Styela clava: one gene and its partner. The protein of the gene in region 2 purifies or fractionates together with the protein of the main gene of each other region. This does not show direct contact. Links are inferred from orthologs where the notes say so. Each region holds a gene or a part of one and is shown on either strand. Other genes may lie near its edges. The genes, in order: histone H2B type 2-F-like and nucleosome assembly protein 1-like 1.

Region 1 (16,583 bases), on a different chromosome or scaffold from region 2:
TCTTCAGCTTGAGTCTTATTAAATTGCAATGTAAATTCATATTTGAAGAGTTACTGGAGATGAAAATGACTATACCTGTGCAGTTGTTGTGTCAATAGTGCTATCTTCTTCACTGGGACTTGAAGCAACTGAAGGAGATGAAGCCTGAAAATGGAAAAAAAAATAATTTAAATTCTGGAAAAATTTGGTTTTTATTACCGAAAGCTTGCTAGGATCATCCGCTTTAATGACCCAATGGAACAAGGGTTCGAATTACAGATTAAAAATGTCAGATTCTATGCCCACCCAGGGGCGGACACCCGGGGGGGCGAGGGGGGGCGGTCGCCCCCCCAATAATTTCGCAAAAAAAATTAATACATGTTGTTTCCGCCTTACAAAATTATCATTTCCGAAAAGTGCGATAGTCAAGCGCAATTAAACGGTTAATAGTCACCGATATTATAACTGTTTTCTCACAATAATGTGGACCAGAGCGTCTTCGGAGCACCTCACATTTTCGTGAAACATGCGCGCCCGCACGGGTAATACTCCGTCTTCAAACGCACCGCCGATCACGCGCCACGGTTTTGCACAACTAATTCATTTTTGTACAATTTAATATGATTTCCTCATTGACAAAATCTTTCAATAGTGTTATTGTTGGCACTTGCGAGAGAAGTGAAAGAGGCAAACTGTGTTTCATTACAACAGTTAATTATTATCGCTAAAAAATTAACTAGATCTAAAGTTGTTATAAACAATTTTCACCGCTGGACGTATATTTTCACGTTATGGATTTCGTGCAAGGCCCAGCATAATTTGCGGGCAAAGATCAAAGCATTTACTATGTCGAAAAGTTGAAAAGCGGCAATATAAAATACTAAAAATAAAACTGTAAACAATATAGGTTTTGTTGAGGCCCGCGACAGTCTAAAAACGCTTTTCTCGGCATCGAAAATCGCAAAATTTCACAAATTATGTTTGCTTGACCTTTAAAAACATTTCGTCACTAAAATCGAAACACGGTCAATTGTGAGCGGGATTTGCCTTTTTATCCATTACTTTTAAATTGACGTCGAAAATTTTCGTGTTAACATTAAACAAAGCTGACAACGCGACTTTTCCCCGGTTTGTGATGATATATAAGATAATTAAAGTATATTCGATCCCTTTTTATATTTATTTATGTATTTTTATTGTACTGAAATAACTTTTACTACGTGAGAATTGACAAAAAAGTTATGGATTTTTCGAAAGGTTTTATCTTTAAAAATAATCGAAGTGACAACATTGCGATTGGTGCCAGTGTTACAAGTAAATCTCAAATTTATCGAATTCGCAAAATAGCAAAAATACGGATCAAAACAATATATAAACGGGCAGTTTACCACACATTTTTATGTCCGCGGATTGCCGTCGTGTGTTAGAATGGCTCTTGTTTTGTCGACTCAACCGTAGTTTAAATTGAAGACAATTAAAATAATAAATCAAGACATTTTGAATATGCCCGTATCGGTCTTCGATTGATTACTTTGCACAAGTGAAAAATCATTTTTCGTTGATAAAGTCGGCTCTTTTAACAAGTGGCGTAATCGCGGCGACTGTTCCGCGTGGATTTCGAGGCGGTGAATTTGTATTTTTGATTTACTAGTATACTTTATAATTATTTTCATTGTATGAAGTAAAATTAACTATATGGGATTTTATACCAGATATCGAGATTTTTGTAACGGCGATAACGAGTTCGGAAGATTGCAAAAATAGGTATCAAAATTAAATACATCAGGCAGCTTATCTCATATTTTTATTTCCCCATATCGCCGTGGTACTTTAGTTTAGTAATATTTTTATTTTGACCTAAGAAGTCGCAACCGCGAGTTACGCTGCACACAATTAAATTAATATATAAGGACATTTTAGAATCTCGTGGCTCTCATGGATCGACAGAAAAAACATTATACGCTTAAATAGGCGGCTCTTTTAACTAGCGCGTAATCGCGGTGCTTGTTGCAGACGGCAATGGGATGTTCCGACCTCAAATTTGTTATTTTCTGTTTGTTAGCAAAAGCCGTGGGCTAATTCTCGCGGAATTCAAGAAATTGGTTCAGTGACGCGCAAGTTCCGTGTCCGAGCAAAGCAGCCTAGGTAATCGATATATGAGTAGCAAAATGACATGCTAATACTTAGAGAATGACATCGACAGGTTACTGTTACGTGACGATACACGGCGCGGTGTTTTTCGGTAGGCGATCCAATTTCGCCCCCCCAAAATTATGGAAAGTGTCCGCCCCTGTGCCCACCACCTAATGAATTGTTTTTACTACGTTACCTTCTTTTTAATTGCAGCCATTCTTAGTGCAAAATATTCTTGCACACTTATTGTAGAAGTTACATGATTGGTTGCATTATTTTTTGGGGATTCTTTTTCAGTAGTTTTCTTTTTTTTTGATTTCTTCTTTTTCTTGCTTTCTGGGCAGGATGAAGTGCTGTCTGCATCAGATATTTCATCCTACATGAATCAGAAATAAAGATTTCGCGATCAGCAACAACACAAAAAATCAGTGTTTCCAAAATTGATAATATTTTTATGTTTGAAGCGAATTTGATACAAGAGAATTTTCTTTCAGATATAAATATCGAAAATTTTTTAGGTTTTTATCCATTATAGTACACTTACTCTGAATTAAAAAAGCCAAGAAACATATCAATGGCCCAACCCCAATGTTTAAAAAATAATCACCTCTGACAAATTGATAGGTGTAACAGGCTCACTCTTGGATGCTGTTTTTCCAAATATTGCTGCAAGATCAGTCTCTTTGTAATTGGAAAGGTCTTTACCTAGAAAATAACAACAATCCAGTGTGAAAATGGTGTGATAAAATGGATAGTCTATGCCGAACTGGGAAGATTAATTTCCTTTCAAATAATAGTAGCTACTTAAATATCCCGAGATATCAGGGCCTTGTTTTGGGGCAAAAGGCACGTTTATGACACTTGAAAATTAGCTGATATATTATTCTTCTCTATTTTTACCATACCTCTTGCAAATTTGTGATAATGTACTCTCTTTTGTGATTTAGATTTCTTTTCAAGGCTGGAGACACCTGTGGAATAAACAAAAATGATGTATATATATAGGGACGATATAATATAACGATCTTATCAGCTTCTATTCTTCTTGACAAAAATAAGAAAATCTAACTTATTCTAGTACTTTATAGATTACCTCTATCACTATTTTGGCTAGCAAAGTTAATTTTAAAACTTGTAGCAAAGGTGAAATGGGTAGCAATGCATTGTGTGGCATGCGACCTTGGATGTTTTGCAAATTTTTTTCTGCCTTCATATTACAGCAAACAAATTACTGGTTAACTTGATCACATTGTTTTAATAGGAAGGCACATTAGTACAAGTTGCATAGAAAATGTTTGAAATAGAAATTTTTAATAATAAAAATGACCTGTTTTGTAACATATCATGATATACGAATATACTTCAATTTTATGCGAAAATGGAAGATTTCGAAGTGTTATTGTGAAAAGTGATCTTGTTTGATCAACATAGATTTTTGAATACAACAAAATGGTGTAAACAAAACTCATAAATGATATCAAATTTATAGTTGGTCATGAAGCAAGACTGCAATACATTCATTTTTTTCTGATTTTTTTTATCCCATCTTCAAATTGCCATACAAGTATTGAGGCAAAGTGATTGTTATTTATAGTACATAATCTCAAAAATATGAATAAATAATTAAGTTCTCGAATATACCATTCATGTTTTTCACGTCAGTTTGATCGGAGTGATGATTGTTCAATTGTGCTAGTAAATCTGCAAAGTCATCCTGATGAGCAACCCAATTTTGCTGTCAAATAGGAATTCAAATGAAATATTCAAAATATAACTATTAAACATTATAGGGGTTCAATTATTGTATTAGCTTTCCGGAGAAAGATATAAACATGTGATTTGGTGATCTACTAGTCTGAATATAAGTTACCTAAACCTTCATCCTGGGACTGGCACCCTCCGCAGTGACTAACTACTCTAATTTTAACTATAAAATGAATGAAATTGTGAACCCACTTCTTGCTTTATCGAACATCCAACTCCACGATTATCATTTTTATGTTTAATTTTAATGTGTGCGATTCTCCCATCTTCATTCGCTCCCAGTCCCTGAAATATTTGGGAGCAAAGTAAAGAAAATGCTATTCATTACAGAAGATTGCAGAATTATATCATTCTATGATGATACTAATACGGGTCTTACTACTTACTGAATACAGCGCGAAACACCGCAAAGAGCGCAAAACAGCGCAAAATAGCGCGAAGCAGCGCAAAACAGAGGAAACCAGCGCGAAACAGAAGGAAACCAGCGCAAAACAGAAGGAAACCAGCGCAAAACAGAGGGAAACAGCGCAAAAAAGGAGACGCAGTCATTACCACCTCCTGCCACGAAAGAACCACGGCGCCTCTCGCCATGGTTTTATGGCGCTATTTCCGGCATATTTACAAGGTTATGTACCGGATTATAGGTCATCATGCGAAATTTTATCTACCTTTTTGGTGCTCCAGAAGTATGTGCAATATGTCGCACAACCAGAATCCGCTACACACACACACACACACATACAATTTCAGGTTGTGCGCCATCTTGGTGCACATACTTCTGGAGGTCCCCTTTTACCTAACCCTAACCCTAAAGCCAACCATATCCATATGGAAAATGTTCTAAATTATGGTACCCAAAATGTGTCACCAGCAGGGGCATACCTGCCATTACAGCATTACTGACTACATACGTTGGTTTGTGATTTTAATTTGCTGCCGTGGTACTCCAACTCAAAACAAGGTGCCCCGAACTCATTGCAAAATTTTTTTCTGCTTCACACTGTTTCCCTCTATTTCGCGCTGTTTTGCGCGGTTTCCACACTGTTTTCCTTTGTTTTGCGCTGTTTCGCGCTCTTTGCGGTGTTTCGCGCTGTATTCAGTAAGTACAGAAGTAGTAAGACCGTACTAATACTGCTGTTTGCATTTTCATCATTTTTGCAATAATACACAAAAAACTATTAAAAGTTGAACCAATGAAGTTAGATAATGGTAATGGAGTAAAAGGAAAATTGTTGATTTGATTCACTCAATAAAGGTCTCATCGAATTCTAGCACTGGTATTTACTATCGACGGCTATCCATCACTTTACACAAAATACACCTTCAAAACCAATTATCTATTTATGGTGGCATTATCACTGAGTCAATACGATAGTACTGTACCTATAGTACGGTACCGGTAACGATATGGCATATTCTAGTGCTGTAGTGCTGGTTGAAGTCAAAAAAATTATTAAATTTGTATACACAAAAATCATGAAATTGCAGAAAGAAAGATAAGCAGTTGACTGTGACCATACGGTACCGTACCTTGCCTTTGGTCCAACCCATTCTTTCAAGCATTTTCACACCAAATTTGTTTTCGTCTTTTGACCAGTTTGTGCCATTTGGGTCTATTGACCACTTTTTCTTATCTCGACCTGAAATATAAAAATATGTTAGAACGTTTAGAAGTTCAACTAGCCAAGACTACAATACACAAATCAAACAAATGCTGCATTTCATTTTCAAAAACTGGTTCTCCTCCAAGGTAAATCCTTACTGTACCTGTACCTACGGCACTGACTTAATTAAGTATATTTAACTAGGTCAAATGCTGGTACCCGGTACGCCGTTGTTTCAGTGTTTGTTTGTAGCCAACGCTAGAAATGAACATCACATGAAATTTTCGCTGAATAGCAAAAATCTACTTACTTTCTGCAAGCATTGACATGTTGTGAATCCCTGTCAGTCCTTTCGCTTGTTACAATCAACAACGCCGAAAACTAGGTAAAACGGACTATTTCGTGGACGTCCGCGCTTGCCAGCATGTGGTCATTGACTGTGCAGCGCTTCACATGTGGTTCGAGTCGTTTTCCGGTTACCTAGCATATTTGAAATCTGATGGTCTTGTTCGATTATGTGACTTTTATTATTATTATGATGATGCCTTCAGACACAATAAATTAGTGGAAATCATAAAAACGATCATTAAGTCAGCAGAGTTGGAACAATTACATTAATTCAGTTCAATTACAATTATTTACTCCCTTAAATGTTTCAATTACATTACAATTCCTCTGTGCAAAAAATATCAAATTACATTTACAATTATAACATTTTGGTTCGTATTCACATTTTCACTTGCTCAAAAACTGTCTGATTGCGCTTGATGAAGATTAGACAGCAAAAAGTTTCTGACCCCAATAAATTTCTTCTTGCCGTATAAAAGTTAAAAAAAACTCGTACTGACGAGGCTGCTGTTGCTGTTAGTCCCAAATAATTCTTGGCTAAAGAAGCAAGCGTGGGAAATTCTTCTTATTTATTTTCCAATACATTAATGAGTCTTCATCAAATTGCAGATTTTTTTCTCCCAAATATCTATCTACTTCACTTGATTTCCTTGGTCTTTTCTTTTTAAATCTTCTGCCATCGCTGAGAAGAAGTAGTCTAAAAAAATGACTTGTTAGGTGGTTGGCTATGATCAACCTTAGCCTTCATCGTGTTTTTCTGGTGTTTTCTTTTGAAATTCATATATTTAGGATATAGATGGGGATAACATCTCTTCAAGTGCGTGATCAAGTTTGACGAGCTTTGGTTGAGAACTTAACTTTCTTTTTGCAGTGATTACAGCATGCCTCAGTGCTGCTCAAAGATTTAAAAAAAAACTGACATTGGTGCAGGAAATGGTTCAACACAGATTTCGGAAGAGTTTGTTTGATGTTCATCTTTTCTTAAAATACCAAGATTTAGTCTATTTGAAAGTGTAATTGAGCCGAAATTTGAGCAAATTACAGTTACAATTACACAGAATGAAAATGCCTCCATTACATTACAATTACATGAAAAACTGTAATTAATTACATCAATTACAACTGATCCAACTCTGTAAGTCAGTTCGCTGAGTTGTCATAAACAAAGAGAAACATGTTTCATCCCCCGTGTTTCCCCGAAAATAAGATAGGGTCTTATTACAATTTTCTTTCGAAATATAACACTAGAGCTTATTTTTTATCAAAAACAAAATCACAAAGTAGAGAATTACGAGATTTCCCAATATACAATTGAAAACCAATATTCATTTACCTATAAATTACACGTTTTAGATAATCAACGTGTAGGGAAGATTCTTGTTGAGGACTAGGTCGAAAAAAAAATCGCGCCATCGACTAGGTCTCTCTCTAGGAGGGTTTATTTTCGGGGAAACATGGTAACTCGCTAGGAGGCGGGGGGCATGTCCGAATTGCACTTTAAAAATGCACGAGATGCAAGTCTGGGCGTGTTCCGAACCGACCGGAGGATAAATTGAAAGAAAAAAAAACGACGATCAAAACGTTCTGACGGGACATGGCATCGCAAAAAAATTGAGAAGGATTCACCTCTACCTTTGACGGAAAAAAACAAGATGGCGACGATTAGAAATGCCCAATCCTAATAGCAACGATAAAAGTAATACTGAGTACTGACAATGATAATAAAGAGGCATTGGAATTTCCATCGCTAGTAGGTATAAATGGTTAAAGTGATACATCCGCTAACCGTCCTGGCATAGGTGTCTTGATATTTATTTTTGCGGATCCGCTTACAATGGAAACATCTCGTTAAGTTTTGGGTGGCTCTAAAAAGAGCCGTTGTGATTGGCAAAACTTATAACAGCTTATTTGGAGCTGGTGTACTTTGTCACGGCCTTGGTTCCCTCAGAAACTGCGTGTTTTGCAAGTTCACCGGGAAGAAGCAAGCGAACTGCGGTTTGCACTTCGCGACTGCTGATGGTACGCCTTTTGTTGTAATGCGCAAGTCGAGAGGCCTCGCCACAGATTCTTTCGAACAGGTCGTTTACGAAAGAATTCATGATGTTCATGCTTCTCCTGGAGATGCCGGTGTCTGGGTGAACCTGCTTCAGAACTTTGTAGATGTAAATGCCGAAGCTTTCTTTGCGCTTCCTTCGAGCTTTCCTGGCATCCTTTTTGGCATTGACTTGTTTCACAACCTTCTTTGCTCCTTTTGTGGGGGCCATTTCCGCTATACGTGTTTGTATAATCAAAAACGAAGTATGACGGTAATCGGAGACATGCCTTATTTATAGGCTTTGGTATGCAAATTAGGGGTATTCTGAAGATTTGCTGAACTTTTCCCCGGGTGGTTTACGCGGCCGATAGTAGTCTTCGCCCACGCACATCTACCTTGAATGTTGTTCTTGATAAATATTTTTTTCAGGTTCGCGAGACATAGATTATTTCGATCACTCTATTTGTTACACATAAGATAAAATATAGAGATTTCTAGTTGTCAAGCCAAACCTCGCATCGAGTTCACTTACAAACACAAAAAACGCATGTAAACTATAAAGGATCAAATATCATAACAATGAAAAATACACGAAGATATCGTTTGGGCTGTTGTACATTAGAAACTTCATAACTAATAAGTTAAATTTTATCAATTAGCATCGTTATGTTTCCAGTTTTGGTTAGAATTGTTCAGCCTGCAGACGAGCACATCTAAAATATGCGTACAACTCGCATATAACTTTAATGAACTAAGACCATCGCACCAACTTAATCCAGAACCCTTGGCTGCTTATTTAAATTTTAAAATAAATCCGAAACTAAGCCAGTCAACCATTATGATATAATCTAAAGTTTTCATGTTCTACACTTTTGTTTGAAAAACTGTAAATAATAATATTGACTCTAGGAATTACAGTTCGAGGTTCAAGTATCAGTTGGGCTATAAGCAGTGGTGGGATTCAGCCGGTTCGCACCGTTTCTATAGAACCGTCTCACGGAATTTTATGAGATCAGCATACCGGTTAGCATTATTTAAAAAAACATGTAACAGAACCGGCCGAAAAATATGATTTTTGTGATGGAACCGGCTGACAAAAAATTTGAATCCCACCACTGGCTATAAGTTATAAAAAATAACCGACTTAAAAAAATTATAGTGTAGAATAGAGATGTACCGAGACCACTTTTGTCGCCGATACCGATCCGATACCAGCTAAAAAGGCCGATACTGATACGCCGATATTCAAAAACGACCGATATTCCGATATTATGTAACTATTAGGCTACCTCAAGTGTAATTTTTACCTTTCAGCCTTATTAATAGTGCACATTATTTCGGATCAAAAAAGAGTAATATATATATTTATATACATATCACACACATTAAGTAGTATTAAGAAGTAGATGTTTGAGATCCAAATGCGTTAATTGATTCAGATGCACTGGCGCTAGTAATCTCAGTGTTCAAATAGATTTATTAGAAAACTAATAGAATTTGGCTAATGTTGGTGGTAAAACAAATAAATGTTCAGCCTACTTACCGTATGAAACTGATACATTGAGTTACATGCGCAGGAAGGATTTTGTGCCAATATAACGTCATATTTTATATTTTAAATATTGGAGCATGCACTAATATTCGATCGATATATTTTTTCATAATTACCATGTAATATTAAAAATTTTGATATAAAAATTTGGCAGTGAAATTACTAAAATTGATTGAGCCAGTTTTGCTAATAAATGGCTAAAAACAGGTCAAAATCCGATTCCCGTTTCTACTAGCCGGGGTGGGGACGTGCATGGCTCATAGTTCACGACCTATCCAAGCAAAAAATAATTTCAAGATTAGTATTTTAACCTATTTTTTAAAACATTCTGGATCATATTATTGAGAAGCTAAATATATCGGAAATATCGGTCTAAATGTAGCCGATACCGATGCACTACCGAAAAATTGGCCGATACATCTCTAGTGTAAAATCGCGTGTCAGCAAATATCAATCCACGCGAGACTTAAAACAGCAGTTCTTACCAGTATGACATGAAAACAACTAGGAAGAGAAACTTAGCGCATAACTTCTCTGGGTCTGGCCAAAGCGTATATATAATATGAATTACTGTTCAAAAAAGCAACAAACCTGGTTAAAATATATTCAGGACTCACTTCATAACAAAATTAAAATTGTAAAGACTGTTACGTCACGATCCACAGGATCCAAGTATTATTGTTTGGCAATAATATTGTTGCCACGTGTAGGCGCTGTTAAGTCGAGTTCGCCGCCATTAATGGATATTGCACCATACTTTGCTGCTGTTTTGCTGCCAAGTCAAGTTTTTAAAGTTTCTTTGTGTTGGTATTATTGTGATTTAATTATTGCTGTTTATTGTGTTTATCTTGTAGATGACTTAGACATCTAAATTAGTTAGTAAGTGGATCTATTGGGTTGTTGCCCTTGGTGTTAAGATATTGAGCCGTACATTTGTTACTGTGAAGAAATTGTACTGATGTTTCCAGAATGTATTATGCAATGATTTTTGGGTAAGAATGCTAGTACTTTAAGTTGCATAATTTGAAGTTCACTGATGTATGTGTTTTCTTACCCGGTGTCATAAATATTATCGGTATGTTATTTATATTTGGATCATTGCTGAATTTGGTATTATTTAGTTTTATAAGTGTTCTAAGACATATTATTTTGTTTTAGAAAACCGTCTTCCATCTTTCATTTCCGTCTATTGTGATGTTTGTGTATTGCTGAGCATTTCATGTTATGCTTCGAATTACAATTTCATTACAAGTTTTCAACAATTGGTTGTGTTTGGACAAGGATTTGGGAGATGCGTTTTCGATTTGTTAGTTTTTCCTATGTGACGCCTTGTGCTACCGGGTCACGTTGAAAGGGAGGTTACAAAGACTTTATGGATACTGTGTATTAAAATTTTCCGCGACGCCCTAAGCGCGACTCTTATCGGGTCTTACGATCAAAAACGGCATTGTTATGCGTGCGCGCCGCTCCTCTGATCCGATGTATTCTATCGAAATCGTGACATTTATGTTTCGCCTTAATTTTTTAATTGTGGTTCGCATCAAAAGTCTAAAAAAGTACAATATATATGATACTTTGTGTGAAACTAGTGTACTCCTTGCGACGCCTAAAATTTATGGAAGCCATGAGTGCTAAAAGCCTCTGGAGGGAACCACGGGCTATAAAAGGTTTGGAACCACTGCTATACACAGTTAGGGTACGCTTCTTGTGGGGCAATCGGAATCATCTCGCACTATTCGTGTACCACCTGCTCAGGGAATTTTAACAAGTATATCGCGCTCATCTCCATTAGTTTTAAACTGTGAAATTGGCGATCAAGCGTTTCCATGCTACTTATTTCAACCTCTCGCGACATCCAAATGCATAATTCATGCGTAAATGCCCAGTTTCAAAGCCATTGCTGGGTCTGGCGAAGTAAACGCCGTAATTTCTAAGACGCCAAATAAAAATCTGATGCGAAAGGAGAGCCGAGTAAATACGGCGTGTAACGTTACTTCTTTTGGAGAGCAGACTACTGGTATTAATAGGCAGGCAATATCAATCATTGTTGTTCCAAAAATCGGATTAACAGCTTGTTAGATTGTGAGTGGCTCTGAAAAGAGCCGTTGTAATTGATAATCAGGTTTCTGTTTACTTGGAGCTGGTGTACTTTGTCACCGCCTTGGTTCCCTCCGAAACGGCGTGTTTTGCAAGTTCACCGGGAAGAAGCAGGCGAACTGCAGTTTGTACCTCGCGACTGCTGATGGTACGCCTCTTATTGTAATGTGCAAGTCGAGAAGCCTCGCCAGAGATTCTTTCGAACAAGTCGTTAACGAAAGAATTCATGATGTTCATGCTTCTCCTGGAGATGCCGGTGTCTGGGTGCACCTGCTTCAGAACTTTGTAGATGTAAATACCAAAGCTTTCCTTGCGCTTTCTGCGGTATTTCCTGGTGTCCTTCTTGTTAGGGACCTGCTTCGCGACCCTCTTTGCTCCCTTTGTCGGTGCCATCGTAGTTCCTCGTGTTTGTAATATGTGAGACGAAGTGTGCTGGGTCAGGTTGACTTAGGATATTTATCCCATTAAATATGCAAATTAGATGAATGAATTGATGTCGATACTGCGCGAACTGCTATAGTTCATGACGTAACAATATACACGAATCCGTTAACCAATCGTATCGTAGCAGACGTGAACAAATAGCGCAGTGTAAATATTAAATTGGAAGTCTTCTAAGCAGACCTAAACGAAGTGGCCAAGGTAGTGTACATAATAAATTAAAAGTTTCCTCATACGTATTACTTTTTCATACATACTCTTTATCCGTTTCCGCAATGCACTATAATTCACGGATGGCGAACTGCTGACGAGCGGTTCCGAAAGCCGTGTGAAAAAAGTATCGCAAAATGTACTAACATTTCAGTAAGGTAATTATCAGTGAACGTTTATAATAAGGTCGGCAATTTAACGTTGTTTCCACGTTTATGTCATAACACCACAATCGGATTGTTTATTTACAGGTTAGCATATATTTGCGTCTGCTGTTCCAGTTTAAAACAGCACTTTCTTTCGGAGACGGATGAACCAGCAGAAGGTTTCAGGGAGTATCCATTATTGTACTCCTTAAAATTTTGTAAAAACTTCACAAACTAAGTTCGAACGACAGTAACGGAAAGTTAAGTTCATGCGTCTAGTCCGATCGTATCGCGTGCGCTGTGTTCACGTCCAAATCAAATACTACCATCTTCTTTTAATCGTATTTCAGTAACTTAAGATAGTACACGTAGAATGCTAATTCGTTCCTGCGCGTGTTACCTTGAATCGTTTCAAGTATTCAAGAAAAAAATTGATAGCGGCCTTGACTGATGAAACAACATACAGATCAAACATTTCTTATCTTCCGTGACCGTGAACTTGCCTTAAGGATGACAGATCAAACAATGACTATAAAAAGCTACCTTCCATAACAAATTAAATACAGTATATATCGGTATTTTCTAAATGAGATAACAGTAACGATTTCATAGCAATAAACAATGAGGGCAACGTCTTACAGTTTGACGTAAATGGGTTATGTAACGTGTCTTCCAACGTTACGCAACGAACCGCAAACGACGTGATGTATTTTTAAGCTCTTATCTTGAAACCTAAGTAAATAGTCGTGTATATAGTGTCTTGAATTTTATGTAATATACGGAAGAACAAAAGTTCGGATTGGGAGGGGTTGTATAGGTATAAATGCAAGTTTCTCTTATTAACGATCAGAAACTTTTTAATCTGGAAACGACGTAAAAACCATCTTGAAACAGAATTTTGTATTTATAAAAATAATTACTAATGGTGAAGAACCAACGTTGCATTTTAAAATATATCTAATCACTTCAGTTACATAATCACGCTGAATCAACCAAAAACATTACAATTGCTTTGAACATTTAAAGTATATATCATGAATTTCTTTTTAGAAAAACCGATAACAGATACAAACAAATTTTTGATTTAAACCATATTTGATCGTTATGGTAATTTAAATCTGTAATTGTTCATGCTGGATTATTTGACTCATCAACAATAATAACGTTCAATAAATCTCGTAACATTAAAAAATATGTATCGGCGATTAAAGGTAATTTCAGTGGCGCCAATAATTTCGCAAAGCATTTTTGCGGCCCGCGTCGTGGTTGATATTTTTCCAGAAAAAAAACTAGAATAGTATGATGTCAACTATGAGTTTCATCGTGTTATTTAACATCAAGAGTCCGGTACAACAAACTGCTAGAACTAAAACAAAAATTCCCCCGTCATTCCAATTTACCACGTTCATCTTTTATTCTATTGTAATAATTAAAGGACCTCCTGATTAAATTCTAAATTCAATCATTTCATTTCGCGTTTTTATTATGACGAAATAAACAAGTTTCGGTCAGATCATGGAAGTGTACAGTAGTGAATCATTTGTTGATTATGAATCATATGTGCAGTTAACGCAAAACTAGATTATTATAGTCTTATGGATCATTACACATGGAAAAATACTATGTTTATACTGAAACTATTCGTCACAAAAAGTTGTTTCATGTCTCGCTTGCTGTAAGATTCAAGGGTAATTTCAACAAATATATTCAGATTTACTTTGTTAATTTTTGTATAACAATTTTGGAACCTCCTAAAGTATGCGCATCAAGATGGCGCACAACCTAAACATAGCATGTGTGTACCGGTCAGGATTCAGGTTGTGCGACATCCTGGTGCGCATACTCCTGGGGCACCCAATTTTGTATATAATTTGATAGTTTTGCGGCCCACGTCGTCAATAAATTTCAAGAAGTGGCCCGCGACATATTTTGAGTTGGGTACCCCTGGTTCACGGCATCAATAACATTAATGATAAGGCTTATACATTTCAAAGCATTCTAATACGATTTAGATACGCCAGATAAAGTTGAGTCGTATTCTTCAGATATAAATCATAAGTTTTTTGGGTGGTTATATTTTTGACCGAATTAACTCAATCAACAACAGGAGTATTGACCTCAAGTTTGTGGTTTGACGTAAATTGGTTATATAATAAGAAATGTTACGCAAGGTTCGTTTTCATTGACCAACTTTCTGTAATCAAACCTTGTTTATGTTTTCTGCATAAAGTATATAATTCTATTTCCTATCGCTTGACGATCAATGAAAGTGCAAGATGGCGACCAGAGTTTCAAATAAGGTCGTCGAATTTGAAAATTTTATCTTTTTCCTAAGTTTTGAGAAAACACATCAAAAGAAAGTAAGCTAACCGGTTATATCGGGATCTATAGATTCTATAGTATTTATACACTGTATAAAACAAATATGTATCTTTGTTATGTGCGGGGTAGTGAGAGGTAGGAAATCGGAGCAAACTTATTAAAATTGCCGCGAAAATATAAATTGTCGAGAAACATGGGAATACATATTTTTTTTTTCATACGCACGCTGAAAATGTAAAAAAAAGAAAAATATTTTAACATTGAAATAAAAAAAAATAAGGCAATAACAAAAACATACTTCACCTAATAAACCGATGAATAAACTTTTGACGACAGGTCATGTATCACCTCATTGTTAACTTATTGTGACAAGTTCCGATTGAAAATTTGCATACGCGTATAATATGGCATTACGCCACAACAATAGGCACGTTATTGGACTTGTAAATTGTGCCTAATGATATGTATAACTTAAGGTTGGCTCACGACTTAATACGCAAAGAAGATTATAGACGTGATTTCTGTTATGAATACAGTTTTCTTCAAACGTGGATACAGATTGACACGTTTCATAATAGATTGCACAATAGAGATTGGATGACGTATAAGGACGGAAGAATACCGTATATAAACTATGATATATTTGTCTGTTTTTGATTCACAGTACTTGATAGACGTTTCCACTCGTGAATTGGGTCATACAATAAATATCTCATCGAAGGTCAGCACGTTCCAACAAAAATGTTATTTAGAGTTCCGACTAAACTTTATGTTCGAGGATAGGAGATATATCTGACCAACACCCTCGCTGGGAGCCGACTATAAGTCATGAGAAGTATTCCATCATTATTGCTTCAATAGCATCTCTATCAAATAGGAACATATATTTCGTATGGCCAGATCGTTGGTGTATAAAATTATATTTTTCGCATCTAGATCATTTCCGGCTTTTAGAGATACCATATATATTTCATATTACCTACGACCAGTAAGTGAATTTTGTGACGATTCTATACATATTTTACTTTACAGATTAATTTAATGTTAATGAAAATCAATTTCAAGGTCACACCTTGTTATGAAATAAAGTATTTCAAGATTTTGTTTGCTGTATGAAATTATTAAACATTGTATTAAAATCTTATGCAGGGTTTCCATCAAGATTGGGACAACTTGTAAATATGTAATTAAGTGAATTTACTGATTTTTCTGCAGTGTGTGTAATATCACGTGGCATGTTGCATAAAACGCATTGTTATGTATAAATCGTGTATGTCGATTAAAGACAGTGGACGACCTCGTGAGATTAATTGAAATATCAGTCGCGAAAGTATAAACATTACGGACTATATAACCACGTTTAGTAATCAAAAACCTGTCTAACAATTCGTACAATGCCGGGCTGTTGACTTGTTTTCTTGGCTTAGTAAAAAACGAACCAAGTTCACATGTGAACATCTGTTTTTTTCGAATAATATGTTCTTTTGCTATACAAGCATACGCTTTCCAAATCTCAGTATTCGTATAGACATACAACTGTTTGAGTTTTCAGAAATTAGTAAGGATTTATTTCTTAAATTAAGATAAGTAAAAGTAGCATAACCTAATTCAAGGTCTACTCAGATGAGGATGCAAGGAATTTAATCTAATTAATAGCAACAGCCAAGTTTTAGGAAAATAATATGCAAGAAGAAACTTGTTGGGTAGCAGTTTTTCGAGAACAAAATTTTACGTCAATGTAGATTCGACTTAGATTTAGAATTTTCGTAAAATTGATTGCAAGTCGTCGGTGTGGCGCTTCCTGCTAAGCGTTACTAACACTCTCGATACCGCGTCGCTGATTTCCCCGCGTGGTTCCGATCCCGTTTGGGATAACTAGCTACGAGAGGATTGTTGGACTCCTCGCCGTAGGGTGGTATGTTCGCGTAACCGCTGGTCGGTCACGGCTTCCT
Region 2 (18,135 bases):
CATATAAAATATTGTTGAAAATAGACTTGAAATTGATTAAATCCTGCAATAAAATCAAAATCTTACCTTCAGGTGGACTGAAAAAGTTGAAAAATGAATCGTTTGAGATTTGTTTGCTGACAGTACGAACAGTTCCTCTTCCCTTATGCTTTTGTTTCTTTTTGATAGTTTTAACCGTCACATTCTTCCCCTTTTTCCAATCTATTTTACACCTGTATATATTCAAGCAAACCTTTCGGACTGAAAATAGTCTTAACAAATTAAGATTTAATAGACATGACAAAACCATTTCATCCATCCATCACCCATTTGGGCTTGCATGTTAGTATCGTAATTGAACTTGAGTATCAAAAGGGTTAACTTCACACCTGGCAACTTTGAAAAAAGATTCGAGTACATGGTGACTCAAAAAAAACAGAAACCAAAAAATCCTTTATTAACACTTGAACTTCTGTTTCTGTATGATTGATTGTACCTAAAACCTTGCACAAAAGTTCACAGTCTCTCTAGAATATGTTCCAAATGATCTGGGTTGTTTTGTTAGATCACTCTGTTTCACAAGAATTATTCTACAACTAACTCAAAAAAATATCATCGCATGGGCAGACAGAGATCAGATTATTTGATTTGAGAAATCTTTCAGTAGAAATGTATGCCTGCGGGCAGATACAAAGCGTATAAAGCAAAATTATTCTGACCAGCAGTTAAATGAAAAATAGTACTATGATAAAAATTTGCATTACCCAGTGCAACTTGTTATTTCAGGTCCATCAAATGTGAAAGGATCTTTATCATCAGGCTGAGCACGTAATTTGTATAGTTTTTTCAATGAAGTGTTGGTGAAGTAGTCATTTGGTTCAAATAAGAACTCCAGAGTGAAAGCCTGTTAAACAAAATTCAATCAGTTAACAATCCACCGATTATATATCGATTTTTGGGTTGATCAGTAGGCCTATGCTATCTAATCGCTCCCGATCGCAGGATGATTTTCGTCGAGAAGCCAAGAAGATTATAAATTACCTTCACGATTGTCACTAACCACTAAAGATATGAGAGAATTTTATTGAATACAACGTGGCACCCACAGGTAAATTTTGAGAAATCGGCTGTTGCACACAAGAGTGTTGAGCAGTTTGAATAATTAGATGTTTAATTCAGGAATTAATAAAGTAATTATATTGATGAGACTGCAAAAAAACATGGGGCCAAAAATAACGAAAGCCTACCTATCCGAAAGATTGTCATTGTCAAGCCATACTGCCATCGACGATGCCTACTCACCATATGTTCATTCAGCTCTGAAAAACTAACTCTGATGTCTTTCAGTGATTTCAAAATAGGCTCATCATGATCTTGTATCATATCCTGGAGAACATCAGTACTTTTAAATATTGTCAACCAGAATTCTGGGATTCCTTTAATATCTGTAATCATAGTAAAATTGGAATGAACTATTTTAGACATTCAACTTAAATAATTAAAACAATCAAAGTGAAGCCTAGTCCTAACTTAAAACCAACTTGATGACACATATGAAGTAACATTAACTAAATAAGCACAATAACATGCCTAAGAATATGCAGATCAGGTAGGAAGTAGGTAGGAAGAAACTGAAAAACAGCTATACTTGATCTTAATGTTGTTTAACTCATTCTAAATTAGTGTCTGACCGACCAGAACAGACAGGACACCAAACACTATAATTAACGGTTGATTTGATAGCAAAATCGAATTTTAGTCCGCAAAGACATACCATCTATGATCTCCTCATCTCCATTTACTTTGTCTTCAACTGCTTTCTGTTTGAAATAAAATAAAATTATTTGTAATGGAAGAAATAAATAGACAACTAACAGTCAATTGGCTAACATTATACACATGCAGTATTACTAAAAAGTATATATATATTGCCAGAGAGAACACAAAGTCGCAGGCATATATCACATGATAACCAAGTTCGGTAACATTCTCAATCAAATGAAAGGTTGATGCTAATTGATTCCGGACAAATATTTCAAAAGAGAAGTTCCAGGACACTCAACATAAGTTTATTTCAAAGGAGAAATGAATTGTCTGAGAGTAATGTTTATGTAATTCAAGAAACATTACGCAATTACCAAGTAAATGTATTATTAGTCATGGAGTTGTTGGTTGGTAGAATTTCCAAATTTTAGGATTGAAGAGTTTGATATTTCACAAGCGGGTACTCTGTCTACATACATGCTTTTGACACAAACCTCTCCAGGGAATTTAAAATTTATTTTCTGCCTAAATCCCCAGAGTATTGTATATTAACAATAACTGAACACGTCAGATTCATATTTGAATACAAAGTGACATTCACTACATCATTTCCAAACCCGCCTGTCTGATTGAATTGGACAACTCAAAAGTGTAGGATGGACATCGAGGGCTGGGAAAGATTCTTATGAAGTAAAAAAAACGAAGCAGTTCAGTTCACCCTTGTGAATTCTTAAAATGGATCTGTTTTGGTTAAAAAAGAATTGTACACCAATAATGAACAAAATATTGATTTTATCAGTGGAACTTTTTCAATTCCATTTTCCAGTGTCGCCTAAAACTGTTACACAAGAACTACCCCAAATGCTAAAATTTATCAAATTAAAATTGAAAGTTTTAGCAAAAATATTGAAGGGTTGGATAATGCAAAAAATATTATATTCAAAATAGTTTCATCATATGATTTGCATAATGGTTTACCAAAATCCAAGGAAAAAAAATTATACAAAATTATGAAAAAAGCACCAATATGGTCATTATACCAAACAAAATCAATGTCATACATTCAAGCATTTATACTATCAAACTTTATTTTCAAACAATATACCTATATCTATTCCAAGAGATAAAAATGAGAATCAGTGAATCATTGGGATGGTTTTAATCAACTGTAGCCATTCAAAAGTTGACATAAACAATTTTAAATAATTTCTTGAGGAATTTGCATTTTAGCAATTGTTTATAGAACAGCCTGACAAAGTTCAGCCCATTTACATAATATTCCCAACTTTCTACATCATTTAACAAAGATGATTTTATTTTGTTAATTTGTATGATTGTATGATTTGTCTTTATTTAGCTTATTAATAATCAGTGACAACATTTATACATATAACTAAATTCCATACTGTTTCTTCTAAAATGGAATGTTTCTCAGCTTCGTATGTATCTGTAATGTACAGTTTATGGTGGTATGTGATGATAACTGATAAGTTACATGATTTCATATAAGTGGGTACAGATCTACCATTTATTTAGCAACCAAACCAACATAGTGTCACTGTCAGGTTAACGTTAGTCACATCTCACATAATTAAGGATTATTTTTATGCAAGATAAACACATAATTTACGGTTAGCAGATTCTTGTCACGAGTTTCTGATTGTTATTCAAACTGGTAAGCAATTAAAGACAAAAATTACTTTTCTGGAAACCATACAGTAGAAATAATTATTACTTTTGAACATCGAGAACCCAACATGATATACAATCTCAAGACCATAAAAGAATACTATACTTGCATATAAGCCTAGTTTAAAACTAAAAAAATGAGTTGCTCATTCGCGCCTAACTTTGATCACTTAAACAAAATGACATTATGCTAACTGAATACCAACAGCTACAACTCGAACCATGCTAAGTTCTCACAACAAGAGCGTGCGATTTGTAGGGTCGGCTTATATATGTGAATTTTTATAAATTCAACATATAGTGCCTCTTTTTAGGGGGTCGGCTTTTATGCCAGATCTGCGTAGATGCGAAGATATACGGTATATATGTTCAGTGGCGCAACCAGCGGGGAGGGGGGGTTACGGGGGTCGTGTCCCCCCCGTTTGAAATTCGTTTTTATTTTATTATTGTTCTACGTTCAAACAACGTGAAAACTACTTTTTTCCAGTGTCTTATCACCTCGACGTAATTTAACACCGCCCGACTTCAATCATACCTTTTTGCTGTTAGTTATGTAATAATCGCTATCCCCGCGTATATGTTTGTATTCGAATATGAGATATGTTACCTCAAAACTGAACGATGTTGTCATCAACGCCGGATGCCGACGAAATCCGCGATAGATATTAAATACTATTTGAGAGCTATTTTATACGCGCTAAATTACAAGAAATGAAAAAATTTCCTGTTATGTTCGGTCACTATCGAAACTGAGGATAAAAACAACTAATTAAGACACAATTTGCCGAGGACGCCTAAACCATCTCGACTAAGTTAAAATACACGATAAGAAAATATTTTCAATCAAAAACGTCCTCGAAATCTTATAAGTTCTTCAAGTTGGCGTTTATCGAAATTCTTTCACGTCAGCTGTAATATAGTGCCGAACCACACATGGACGACAACGCTAGGATATGTGCGCCATATTCAGGATTATTATAAACACGAAAAAACAGTATTTGAAGTTTGCGATATTAGAATTTAAATTCGATTTGGACATGCCTGCATTAAATTAGTCAGTTTTTAGTCGTTTTCCTAAAATTAGTTGTAAATCAATTATTTTAATTGTCATTATATCTTCTAGTGAGCTTCAGTTTAGTTTAGAATTTTTCTGGAGTTAGGGTCGGGGAAAGGTCCATTCGCAAGAAGTGCATTTTGTTTTTAGTCTTGACGAATTCACCCAACGAGCAAGTCGCGACACGAGGGAAACACTGGAATTTATTCAAGCCGTGTTTCACTATCCACGAGGCGCAAAGCGAGGGAAACGTTGAAAATAATTAACAGCTTTTCGTTAGCAATTCGCTGGAATGTAATGAACGGCATTTTGCTACCCACGAGGTGCAAGACATAGCGAAGCGCCGTTAATGAACGAGTGCAAGGTAAGCGAAAGGCTGGGATTTTATCGATGGTGTTTCCCTTTTAACCACGAGCAATTTATCGTGTTTCAGCGGGGCGACACCTAGTGGCGTTGCGACTTACGTCGTGGTTGCACTGTGTAAATTTCAGTCGGAACCCCCCGTTGAAAACCAGGGTAGATTGCCTCAAACAAATACAGATAAATGACAGAATAAAAAACACAAAGAATGTTCTGGCTTGATGATGACGATGACCATCCTAATCCTATAGGTTATAACCCATAAGTCGACTGCATAGAAATGGCATGAACTTGATCAATTTCAGTGTTGAGAGATGAGTGGATAGTGAAGCTGATTTCAGCATTTCTGATTACCAATTGATTCCAATGGTTTTGAATGTATTATATCACTAATTATCAAACTTATATATCGACATTGAACATTTGTTAATAATATCCAATTAGCAAAAAATTGTAATATGAAAATAATATCTTGTATTGCGATATAAAATATTGTTGCTCTCACCTCTTCATTTTTATTTTTCTTATTTTCTTTAGTATTTTCGTCTTCTTCTTCATCCTCACTATGCCACTCACACTCTGAATCAGTCGGCTCAATTTCTCCCTGAATAATGTCTCTCCTCTGAAAAGGTCAAATGATTGGAAAAACATTTAATTGAAAACAACTGTAATGTACATGACAACTGTCTATAAAAGAGATTCCTAACATCTGCTTATTTAGCAGCCCACGATAGGATGACATCGTTTGGAGTCTTACAACAATAACGACAGTTCTATTATTGACGTATAATAACAAGTGGCTTCCTGCAATGAGTTAAGTAGTGTTATAGTAAACTGTATATAATACTATATATAATATAATATATGATACTAATCTCCACTATTTAGGAATTAGATAATGGAAACATGATTATTTTAATAATAGTCCAATCTTCCAAACAGCATTTAATGAGGTGTTTATAAAAGTATTTTCGATTACAAACATACACTGAGTGAATTATATATTAGAATATTAGATTTGTTTTGAACAAACCTGCACTATTTATAAGCCAAACTACAAAAAAAAAAATAATTCAATGGAATTGTTACCTTTTTTATAGAAAACATTTATATTAGTACCTGATCAAAAAGCAATTATATTTTATCCGTGGTTTAAATATCTCTAAGTTCATAACCAATCGAAAATTTTCAAATTGAAATTTTTAATAAAATAGAATCAAGCAAACAAATATGGAACAAATTAGGTGGGCTATGCCAATGCAAAATCTCTGCAATGCAAACTTCTGAACTATCTTGAATCTTTTCATTTTGCAAGGAGTTCATATAAACAAAAAAAAACTTACCCTATCAAATAATGGTGCATAAATCGCCATATATTTTCTTTCTAATTCATGGACTTCCTCAAAAAATTTTGATTCAATATTCATTGACTTGACTTGAAGATTTTTCAAGGCATGTATCCGTCTTTTCACTACTTTAGGGAGGCTGAAAAATTACAGCAAAATGAAATTAAAATAACTGAAATGAAAATTTTTCCAATGATTGGAATGTAGGCTATGTAATAAACCTATTTATTTTATCAAATTTATATTCTACAATGGCCTACAAGAATATAAAGAAATTAAATGCTCTTGAAAATTCAGCACCCCAAAACACAGCACAGCAATTTTAATAGAAGTGCATAGGTAGCAAAACATTTCCGATGGCAACTAACTGAAGCATCGGTCCTTTGATACCTCGCAACACAAATTGCAAACATACATACATTCGAATACATTGAAAAGTAGATATACCCCGATTCTTTGAAAAAAGCATCTTTCCAGGGTCATTTACACTTTTTAACATACCGTACCTTTCAATATATCCTGATGAATTTCCAACCATATCTTCGATTCGATTTTGTAAAGCAGCTAAAACCTGTGGATTCTGCATCATCTCTGCGGTTATTTGACTTGCTGAAAAAAAAATACAAAACATGCCAAATTATGATAAACTTTATGAGAAGTATAAAATTGAAAATATGCTTTCCGATGATTCCTTTTTAAATGTAATTTTTTCTTAATTTTTCATTATTAAAGAAGTTGAAGATGACGGGGATGATATGGGATAAATCAACCAAGTCCAAGGATATTCATCAGAAAAGCTATATTCCCTTATCTGAACAATTTCAATAATACAGATATTAAACCATTCAACATCAGATTACATTTACAATAAATTTTATCAACTCAACTAACGGTGACAAAGTATTTGTTGAATAGAGGAAAGGTGAAAGCCTGAGCTTATTGGCTTGTAATTAATATTTAAGATCCTTATATCAGACATTTATGGTAAACTTGATGGGGAAAATTCAGAATGAGATCATAATCACAATTATATCAAAATAGCTTTCGTTTTGAAATATTCAGCGAAAGAACAATGGCACCAATTTTCACCCTACAAAGGAGGCGCAGTTCTTATTTATTACCATCAGGGGCAGCCCTGCCATTACAGCCGACATGCCGTGGTTACGGCAGCAAAATTTTATCTGCAGTTGGTTTTCAATTTGCTGCCGTGGTAACAGCAGCTCCCCACTGGTTTGTGGCAGCTACAAAGTCAGTCGCCATGGTTTTGTGGCAGCTTCAGACGCCACGAAATACTTGAAACTGCAATTGCTTCAAAGGCAGCTTTTAAGGAACAATCAAAATTCATATCCTTCGGGACATACACTTTAAAACACAACATAAAATTTCAGTGTCATTTTCAACAATGATTTACATATTTACCTGAAGGCATCGACTGTGGCGTTTCATCTGCATTCAAAGTAGCTGATTCATCATCAACTTCTGTCTCCGGTTTTTCCTCATCGTGTTCCACAACATCTTTATCAGATGTTTTCGCATCTCCTGATGACATGTTGTTGTAAATATTTTATGAACTATGAACTATCAAAACCAGCAAAAGCTATTTCTGTATTTACATAATATAAAGTTTGAAAAACATTATTACATGTGTTAGAGATTCTGTGAAGTAATAGTTTGATCACTAAATCTAATTAACACTTGCCACTTATCTTTTTGCAAAATTTGCTGTGCAGGCCTGCACAACATACGGCCCCCGGGCCGCATACGACCCGCTAGATACTTCTGTGCAGCCCACGGTTGATTTGGAAACACGCCACTTCTCTGGTCTAACAATCAAAATCGGCATTGTTATGCAAGCGCACCGCTACTCTGATCATATTCGAAATCGTGAGAATTATGTTTTGCACTAGTTTCAATAAATATCAAACTTTGTGTGAAATTGGTGTGCCCTTCGTGACCCCTAAAATTTGCCGCTCGACCCCTCGCCCCCCAGTTTGGGTAACCCTGATTTAGATATCTCAGTATTCAGATTGAATCACGCTTAAAACAATTTCGGTATACAATCTCAGACCCATTAGAGCATATTAGCAACCTATTAATAAGCCCCCTATTTTTTAATAAGTTTATGAAACTGAAGTTTCTTTTTTGATTCAAATTAAAAACTTGAAAAACAATTCCTTCATTTATGAACGGTATAGAAATTCTCGTACAAAAGATTTTGCTATTTACTGTAAAATTTCAAATAAATTGGAGCAGATTTTGTAGAAACATGTAATTTAACAGTCAAAAAAGTACGGGTCTGGTATAGTTTAGTACCACATGTACTTCTAGTTGACCTGGCTCAACAATTTTTGCATATGTCAATCCTAACCCCCACCTGACTACGTCACCGAAAAATTACGCCATTTCGTCACAGTGCAGCAGTGGCGTAATAAGGCCCACCGAAGTATGCGGATGGTCGTCCGAAACGCGCAGACGATCACCCGAAATCGAGCAATCAATTTCTCCCGTTTTCTCGTCACAACGATCACAATAGGAGAGAGATCGCCGGCTTTAGCAAGTTCGTTATCGGCGGCGCAGATGTCATTTCGGGCGATCGTAATTATACTTTGGCAATCCCTATGATGTTATGGTGACGTCGTAGTGACGTAATTCTTGGATGGCCCAGTCAGGTGGGGGTTAGGAATAGCATAAGCAAAATTCGTTATGCTATGCCCACCGGAAGTACTTGTGGTACTAAACTATACTAGACCCAAAAGTACAACAGAGGATGATCTATTGCTACTGAACGGATTGTTTGTCTAGCCCAGGGCTACTCAACTATTTTTACCGAAGATCCGCATCCAAAACTGCAAAAATATTTGGGTCCGGTCTTTTCCAGAAATTATATTTCGACATCCTTAAACACACACTTCAGCACTTCCTCTGCAGACTAATGATTATTAACTATTCAAGATTGTTTATTATGGCGTTATACTGGTACCGCCGTACCGGTAGTTCTTTCCATATAGGCCTATATTTAAATCTATAAAAGTTATTTTTTACAAAAGGAAACTTCAAAAGTGGGGCTAATAATCCAAAATGAAGAATTACTGAATTAGGCGTGGTCGAATGACGAATACCCGAAAGGTCCGGATTCAGACCGCCAGTTGAGTAGCCCCGGTCTAGCCTACAATGGAAATATCCAATATTGCAGTAATGGTAGATATTTTTACCGGTACTGTCTCATTACAAATAGAGTCATAGGGCAGCGGACCGAGAATTAAAATTGAATTTATCTTACTGTGGTACCGGTACGTAGCAGTACGCAGTACCGTAGCCTGTGGGTATAGTACGGTGGTATGGTTTGATTGTGTAGGTACGGTACCGGTACCGGTACGTCATTGACTTCCCCTGTTCTCGTAGCTACCACACAACAGTCCTACACTTGATATTTCATGAACAGCGATAAAAACCTCAAAGATTTGTGAATTCTAAAAATGTTCAAAAAAAAATTCGCTTAATAGATTTCGGTACCGGTACGGTAGGTCTACCGTAGTACCCGCACTTGATGCGAACGCCAGGACAAGAACACAAAACAATGAGCAGCATATGGAAATCTACACACAGACTGAGTCTGATATTTGTATTCACCATTACCTGATTGTGCCATGTGTCCTCGCACGCATGTGAAAATCAATGAAGTGTTAATAGCCAGAATATTCTTACACGAATCTAGCAATGTAGATGCCGACCAGGAAAGTCCCCAGTCTTCAATTTCACTGAGAGCAAGAAATCGCGCCAAAAATATACCCTTCTCGTTGCCTATTTTGCACCCCGCCATTCCATTCTCAATCTGTTTCAATTTTTGTTCAATACCTTACTTACTAGGTAGTGTTACTTAGACACAACTCGCACAGTTTGAATCAGGGTTGCCAGATCCCAGCGATCAAAAAAAGCCAAATCAGGACATAAAAAAAGCCAGAAAAAGCCAAAAATTTTACTAAGTACAAAAACCCCATAATTCAGTAATTTGTCAGATTTTAAGCTCTTGGAACAATACTGATGATGATGTAGAGCCATCAGTTCATTCAGTGCGCCACACAATTGTCTTTTCCCATTGAAAGTTGTTTTTTCGGTTGCTATCATGGCGATTTACCCTTCAGCGGGATGAAGGGTTTATAAGTAAAAAGGATTATTTGAACGAAAGAACCAGAATCGACATTCAACACAACACAGTCAAGCTGACATCTATATGAAACAATTTAAAAGAATCAAAAAACCAAATAAAAATAAATATTAAAACGGACAGCATTATTTTACCATTCAATATATACAGATATACAATACAGGGTACCGTTTCAGTATGTGATATACCTACATTTTCGAAATTTTAGAATTTATAAACCATCAATTTTATTAAAAACTATCTAACCACGTGCCGCTTACAGGTGGACTACTAATAGCTAATTCAGTAATTTTTACTGTAGTTAATCACATCGTTCGTGAGACAAAATTTTGATTACTGCAATTTAACTAAAGCTTCACATCAGGCATAATGAAAATTAAGTTATAACACCATTTTTGAAAACGGAACTTAAAACTGACAAACAACACGCAAAACTATAAAAACGAGGCAAGGTTTACAAACCTGCTTGAACATCTGTCTGAGCGGCAGCAGAAACTGCAAGTATTTCTTATTGGGTAGGTATGGTTAAGCGTTAAGGTAATGAACTGGGAAATCGACGCTCGGGGAAAGCCTAATGTTAAGTACCGTACCAGTACCGGTAATAGGCTATTGTTACACACTAAATATTGTATTTCATATGATTTTAATAATAGACACTAGACTGGACTTGAAAAAAGCCAAAAAAAACGCCAAAAAGCCAAACGGAAATTCTGACGCCAAACGTGTTTGAAAAAAGCCAAAAATGGCAAATTTGGCGTTAAAAAAGCCAATCTGGCAACCCTGGTTTGAATAGTTTATAATTACATTTTTCATAATGAACCTTTCCCCGAGCATCGACTTCCTTGTTTACTTCGTGACATTGGCCAACCAGCAAGATGCAAAAAGTGACGTAACAATGCTCCCTTTTCGTATCCGCTCAGACACTTTTCTCACTCAGACAAATTTTCAGGCGTGGTCGTAAACATTACCTCGTTTTCGCGTTTTTGGACACGTTTAGTGGCCACAACGACCGTTTCAATATTATGTTGTTGTTGTTGTTGTTCTTGTTCTTTGACACGTTTTTAAAAAGTCGCTTTTCTCTTCGAATACTGGACCAATTGCTTTGAAATTTTCAGTGGTTAACGATTAATTTTTTCGCTAGAAGGCTGTCACTTTTATTTATTTCAAAATTTTGCGTGAATTCTATGAATTTGATATTTCGTCTAAAATTTTGCTGTATTATTTTTTATCCATGGGAACACGGATTTTAGTCAGTGTCATGACTGGCTGTACGTTTTGATTCTGCAAAATTCTTGCTACTGGAAATTCAGAACTTTTTTGAGGGTACCGGTAGCGTCAAAGGTACCGGTAAGGACTGATTCGCTCTGGTCTAACGTGTCCATATATTTGTGCGTAGCTCTCTTGTTTTAACTCTATTCGTTCGTTTTCAGTTGTGTTTCGGAAATTTAAATATAAATCAGATAATTCATTGATCCCTCCGTCTTCTTAGGAGTTTTAATTTAATTGCAGTAATAAACAAATTAGTGTAGATATAACTGTGATAGGGTAGGCTAAAATTCTTTACCGGTACTTTTAAAAAACAGATTGTTGTATGCCATGAATCATAATGATTGTTCAAAACAAATCCCCCATTTTACAGCGCCAACTCGCGAAACCACTTATAAAATAAGCCCCGAAATTTTTGCAATGATAAAGTATAGGAAGAGTTTTCCGGGGGTCAAAGGTCGGGGAAATACATACTAATGATTGATAATGGAATCAGATTGTTCAATCATGCGATGAATTTTGTGATTTTGATTTTAGTGCACTTCTTTCAACCAAAAAACTTTGTCCCTTTAGACCAGGGGTCACCAAACTGCGGGTCGGATCCGGCCCGCGGCGTCATTTTATCCGGCCCTCCCACAATAACACGCAAAAATGGCTAAATTTTTTACCGATGGAGATTTTCCCCATCATCGTCTTCCTTGTTTATTTCGTAACATTGGCCAATCAGCAAGATGCAAAAAAGTGACGTAATAATAGGTCTTTTCGCATCCTCTCAGACACTTTTGTCACCCTGACAGATTTTCAGTCGTGGTTGTGAACAATACTTCGTTTTTGCGGCTTTGAATGCTATTCCTTAGTTTTTGGTTGTGTTTCGGAAATTGGAGTATGAATCAAATAAGTCAATCATCATTTGCCTCCTTAGGAGTTGTAGTTTTAATAGTATAGTAATGAAAAATTAGTCTAGAAACAGCTGTGACAAAATAGGCTAAAATTCTCTACCGGCACGCAACGTTTTATAAAAAGTTTAAGAAAAAGTTTTATAAAAACGGTCAAGAAATAACGGAGATATCGGAATTTTAGTACCGCCCGACACGCCAATTATTTCCATAAGGATTGTATTACTTTTTTGATAAGAACTGTAATAAATATAAAAAAGAACACTTATCAATCACCAATCTTTCGATGTGCGTCACATCAATGGAATATTGAGACTATTTCAGGATTTTATTCTGGCAACGGTGATTGACACCGCCGAAAGATCGTCGCAAATAAACGCTGGAGTTGTGCATGATAGTTTGACAGTGGTTAATTGTGGGTTATAATTAACGATGTTCTGATTGTACAAACTTCATAAAAATTGGTAAGTATCAAGTTAGGCAAGAAATACACACGTCCATATAAATTTTATTGGTGTCCATAGACAATATCATTAATTTGTACTACGTATAACTGGAGCGTAATTTTTAAAAGCTCCGAATGTTGGAAAATTTATGCGCTAATGGAAAAATTCAAATACCAGATAATAGGTATTTATTTTATCTCAATTATGGAATTCCAAGATACAGCAGGCAATTCGTAGTCATTTTTATGAGCGGTATTCCAACACGGCGTAACGGTAATAGGCAGACGTGTTGCGTACATTTTTTGGCGCGAAAAAGCGGATTTTGTAACATTTCTAATTCATGACAGCAACGTTTTAATAACAGCTAAACTGAGGATAGTTGTCTAGATATAAAAATCTTGTATATTTGTTTTCCTGAGATGTTCTCGATCTTTATTCTGCGATATAGATAGAATTTAATACTCAAGTCTTCAGAAATATATAGTAGAATATATATTGTTGAATGGATTTCCCAACTTTTGTGAATTTATTGTATTGCATTGACAAAAATATTCATCCGGGCCGTTTCAACACAGTTTGAGTCATACCCGGCCCGCGGTCAAAAAAGTTTGGTGACCCCTGCTTTACACATATACAATTCCTTGTGTAGAATCGTAGTAGTATATATTTACGGTAGAATGGATTAAATATTTCACAAATTCATGTATATCAACTTTTGGAACAAAGCTGAGATCTTTTCAAAGAATTTTTTTTATAAAGCTGTAGTTCGAAATAATGTACTATATGGATTTAGACTACTGGGAACAAAACTTTCAAAATAATATATTGAAACCTTTTTGGATTTATTTTAATATTGTCCAATCACCAGGAAATTTTGGTCTCAGATAGACCCATGGATTGCTTTTATGACAGAAAACTTGGATTTTCATCTTGGAATGGAAGAACAAGAATGTCTTATAACAGTGGTCGGTCCGAGGAGTGATATAATCCGGCCCGCGACGATTCACTGAATTATAGTGATAAAACAGCTGTTTGGACGAATATATTCTTTACGTAACCGAATTTATTGTTATTATTTATTGTATTATATTATAACCTAACAAGTATATAATTCACAATTCCTCGTTTAATGAGCTTATAATTTATTTATAAGTAGACAAATGGCAACAAAAAGCAAAAAAAGTTGATGCTAAGTGCAAAGGGTTCAATGGCGCGAAAAATATTCAAATGGAATTTTTTGAGAAGCAATGCAATGAGGAAATAAATCTATAAATCTTGGCTTCATCCAGTAAAATACTGATACACAATAGAAAATGACATTTATTCATATACTCATTGATTATTTGGCTTTAACCTGACAACTGCGTTATTGTTTTTTATTATTATTTATCGTTTATTTATAATCTTTATGTAACATATATATGAAAAATGGGAGATTTTCCTAATTTTTTTTTCATGTTTTTTCGGATATAAGTTGAATTAAAACTGTACTGTTATGTGTGCATTATGAAAAAGAAAATATTCTTATGTTTGTATTATTGATCAATATTATTTATTTCCATATTATTTATTTTATAAAATTCGATAAAAAAATTAAAAAAAAAGTTCACCTTCAAATTCGAGACTATATATATATCTAATACGGTAGTTTAGTATCCATACCATGCTAAAAAAGCGACAGTTATGTAGACGGAAAAACTAGGTGGACATTTTCCTGTCCGCTTAATTATTATTATATATATATATATATAAATTGGGTATTTGATAAATTTGTATGCCACACTTAGGTGGCTAGATAGGTGGACATTTGAGATATCCATTTTGTGTAATGTTTCTATATATAATTTCAGAATTTTGTTTCAATTGTTTTATGCCACACTTAGGTGGTCGGATAGGTGGGCATTTAGGATATACATTTTGTGTAATGTTTCTTAATATAATTTCAGAAATTTGTTTCAATTGTTGTATGCCACACTTAGGTGGTCGGATAGGTGGACATCTAAGATATACATTTTGTGGAATGTTTCTCAATATAATGTCAGAATTTTGTTTCAATTGTTGTATTCCACACATAGGTGGACGTTTAAGATATACATTTTGTGTAATGTTTCTCAATATGATTTCAGAATTTTATTTAAATTTTGTGTATGCCACACTTAGGTGACCGCAGTGGTGAGCTGTAGCCGGAACGCACCGGAACGGCGTTCCGGTTGTTGGACATTTTGCTGCATTTTTTTTTTGAGTTCCTTTTTTTGAAATTATGGTACAAAAAGTCCAGTTTCTCTGGTAATCATAGTTATTAATTTATGTTTTGTTACATCATATTAAGTCTTTGCAAATGCAAATAATTAGTACAGCAGAAACGTGTATTAGATGATTCCCCGACCTTTAACCCCACGAATATTCATTCTATACCTTTTTAATAATAAGATTTGTATTGAATTGCTATGAATACTCTTGTAATTTTACACGAACATGTTTCATATAACTTCTTCACAGTTCATTGCTGTTCTGTAAACGTCCGCGTCATGTTGTGAATATATTACATTTTTGCAAATTAGGTGCGTTCCGGTTGTTACGATTTTTCCAGCTCATCACTGGGTGACCAGATAGGTGGACATTAGAGATATACTTTGTGTAATGTTTCTCAATATGATATCAGAATTTTTATTTTAATTTTCGTATGCCACACTTAAGTGCAGGATAGGTGGACGTGTGGGATATATTTTGTGTAATGTTTCTCAATAATATTTCGGATTTTCGTATGCCAAACTTAACTGGCCGGATAGGTGGACATGTGGGATATATTTTGTGCAATGTTTCTCGATATGTTTCAGAGTATTCATTTTTATTGTTGTATGCCACACTTGGGTGGTCGGATAGGTGGACATTTGAGATATTGTAGCGAATGTGCATTGTGTAACTATGGATTATAATGTATTTAACCCTTTCATATTAATAGCATGTAATATTTCACAAAATAGGCCGCATTATGTTTCGCAACAGCGATAATGCATTCGCTCCCTGTATTGCCTTTCTCGTTTCGACCAATTTGATAACGTATCGTTTCCGGTTTGCCGAGAATGCTCTATAATATTGTGTTTCTTGTTTCACTCGATATATGACTTGTGATCTGACCGTAATCTTACTGCATTAGGAATTCGGTGTATACAATTTTATCTGTATTTGGAATTTGGATCGTGCATCTTTTCAATAATATACAACAATTCGACAATCATCATCGTGTGCTTATTATCGTCTGAGGAAATCCAGATTGGAGTCACATTCCATAACACGTGAAATTAATAACGTGGGAATCGAACTTTGAATATTAGGGTGAACAGTCTTTATCCCTAAGACCGCACTTCGTTTCCCTATAGTATTTTTTGTGTAATGTTTGTCAATAGGATTCAAGATTTTTTTTAATTGTTGTATGCCACACTTAGGTGGCCGGATAGATGGACATTTGAGATATATTTTGTGTAATGTTTCTCAATCGGGCTGGTGTTCATTTTTCAATTACGTGCCACAATTGAGTTACCGGATAAATGAACATTTGAAATCCAATTTGTGTGATGTTTGTCCTCATTAATGACATACCAGAATTCCCTTTTAAATTTTTTTGTATAACTTGAGAGGCCGCATAGGTGGACATTTGAGATAAAGTTTGTGTGATATTTCTTCAATATTATTTGCATTTCCGAATTTCATTCTGCAGAGATATAATTTTTTTTATTATTCCTCAATATTATTAGCATTTGCATATTTTATTTTACTATTATACTCCACACATCCTTCTCAAAATAATATTTCTCACTTTAGCAATTTGGTGACACGTTTGAAATATATTTTGCGTATTGTTTCTCAATATGATTGGCATTTCGAAATTTTGTTTTTTAATTATATGTCACGTTTAATAACTAGTCATATAGATATGCGGGCTTTCGAGATGTATTTTGCGCAATGTTTATCAATATTATTGGAATGCCATAATTTTGTCTTTGTATGTAGCATCTGTTTTATCCATATATTGAACTATAGCGTTGGAATAGGCGAACATTAGTGATAAGCTCTGTGTATTTCTCAGTTTCAAATATATAATACTTCGGATCAATTTGTTTCGCTTTTGTACCTTCACGTTGCATTTTGAGTATTTTTTGACATGGAAGATTATTTTTAACACCAAACACAGTGCATCTCCCTTGTACGACAGACTGAATATTAAAAAAACGCTATTTTCTGTGATAAATATTGCTGAATGGTTCGAATCCATCAGAAATTAAAGCGAGGTCATACACTTTAAAATGTGTAGTACTAACATGAAACATTTACATTTATAGATGCCAAATAAACAATTTGCTATTATTAACAATTTCCGCACATGAATAAGTGTTTGTTTTGCACTAAAAAGTTATTTTCAAAAGCAACATCATTTATGTAGACATTCAGGGTGACATATAAGAGAGGTCCGGCTTAGCGGCGAAATAGGCTAAAATATTTGGAGGTCTGAATTAGGTGGACCAATTGAGCGGACAAAATTTTTATATCTGTTATCGAGAGGATTGTGTTGACTGTTTTTTTCGTAATTGTCAACGGCTCTCGCGCTCTCCGTGCACGTATTTAGAAACAGTGGTACGGACACACGACGACGTCCGCTTATTAAATACTGCAATTATGACAGGTCTGTTTAACTACCGTAATAGAGTTATATATATACTATTAACATATTTATATTGTTTCAATATAATCAAATACCACTTTGCCGCCAACGTTTGCCAGTACTAATGAACCTGCTGCACTCGAAAACCTGTTTGATTTTGACGCAGTATCAGTTTTGCTGCTTGCTTTATATATATATTTGTAGTTTAAACAATTCAGACAATAGAAGACAAATGAACCATCGTACATTCCTCAAGACTCTGCAATTATTCATTAGTGTCCCACACACCAAAAATAAAACCAATGATTTGATAGAGTCATAGGGTTTATTTTTGTTATTACAGATTTGATTGAGAGAGGGGTTCATTTTTTCCCCAACCAGAAAATAAATAAGTGCAGAAAAATACAGGTTTTTAATTTATACAATTCAGTTTACGCAGATATAAGTCTTGCTAGATTGTTGTTTCTGTCTTTACCTAGTCTAATCATCGGAAGACGAGCTATGTATTCG

Evidence for each region.
Region 1: the proteins of nucleosome assembly protein 1-like 1 (region 2) and histone H2B type 2-F-like fractionate together in Drosophila melanogaster (co-fractionation; 4 studies listed by BioGRID, with this or other methods). This does not show direct contact. The link is inferred for Styela clava from reciprocal best matches to the Drosophila melanogaster genes Nap1 and His2B:CG17949.

The regions. Positions count from the first base shown.
Region 1 is NC_135264.1:9,948,548-9,965,130, reverse strand, and holds histone H2B type 2-F-like, read right to left. Parts: upstream 8,284-16,583; 5' UTR 8,093-8,283; coding exon 7,733-8,092; 3' UTR 6,664-7,732; downstream 1-6,663. Other genes in the region: PIN2/TERF1-interacting telomerase inhibitor 1-like, read right to left, coding at 76-144, 2,309-2,488, 2,720-2,817, 3,018-3,083, 3,754-3,847, 4,069-4,161, 5,407-5,516, 5,791-5,809. UniProt on the Drosophila melanogaster protein: Core component of nucleosome. Nucleosomes wrap and compact DNA into chromatin, limiting DNA accessibility to the cellular machineries which require DNA as a template.
Region 2 is NC_135257.1:688,254-706,388, reverse strand, and holds the start of nucleosome assembly protein 1-like 1, read right to left. Parts: upstream 7,797-18,135; 5' UTR 7,742-7,796; coding exon 7,612-7,741; intron 6,802-7,611; coding exon 6,699-6,801; intron 6,332-6,698; coding exon 6,190-6,331; intron 5,469-6,189; coding exon 5,352-5,468; intron 1,800-5,351; coding exon 1,754-1,799; intron 1,425-1,753; coding exon 1,282-1,424; intron 884-1,281; coding exon 744-883; intron 213-743; coding exon 67-212; intron 1-66.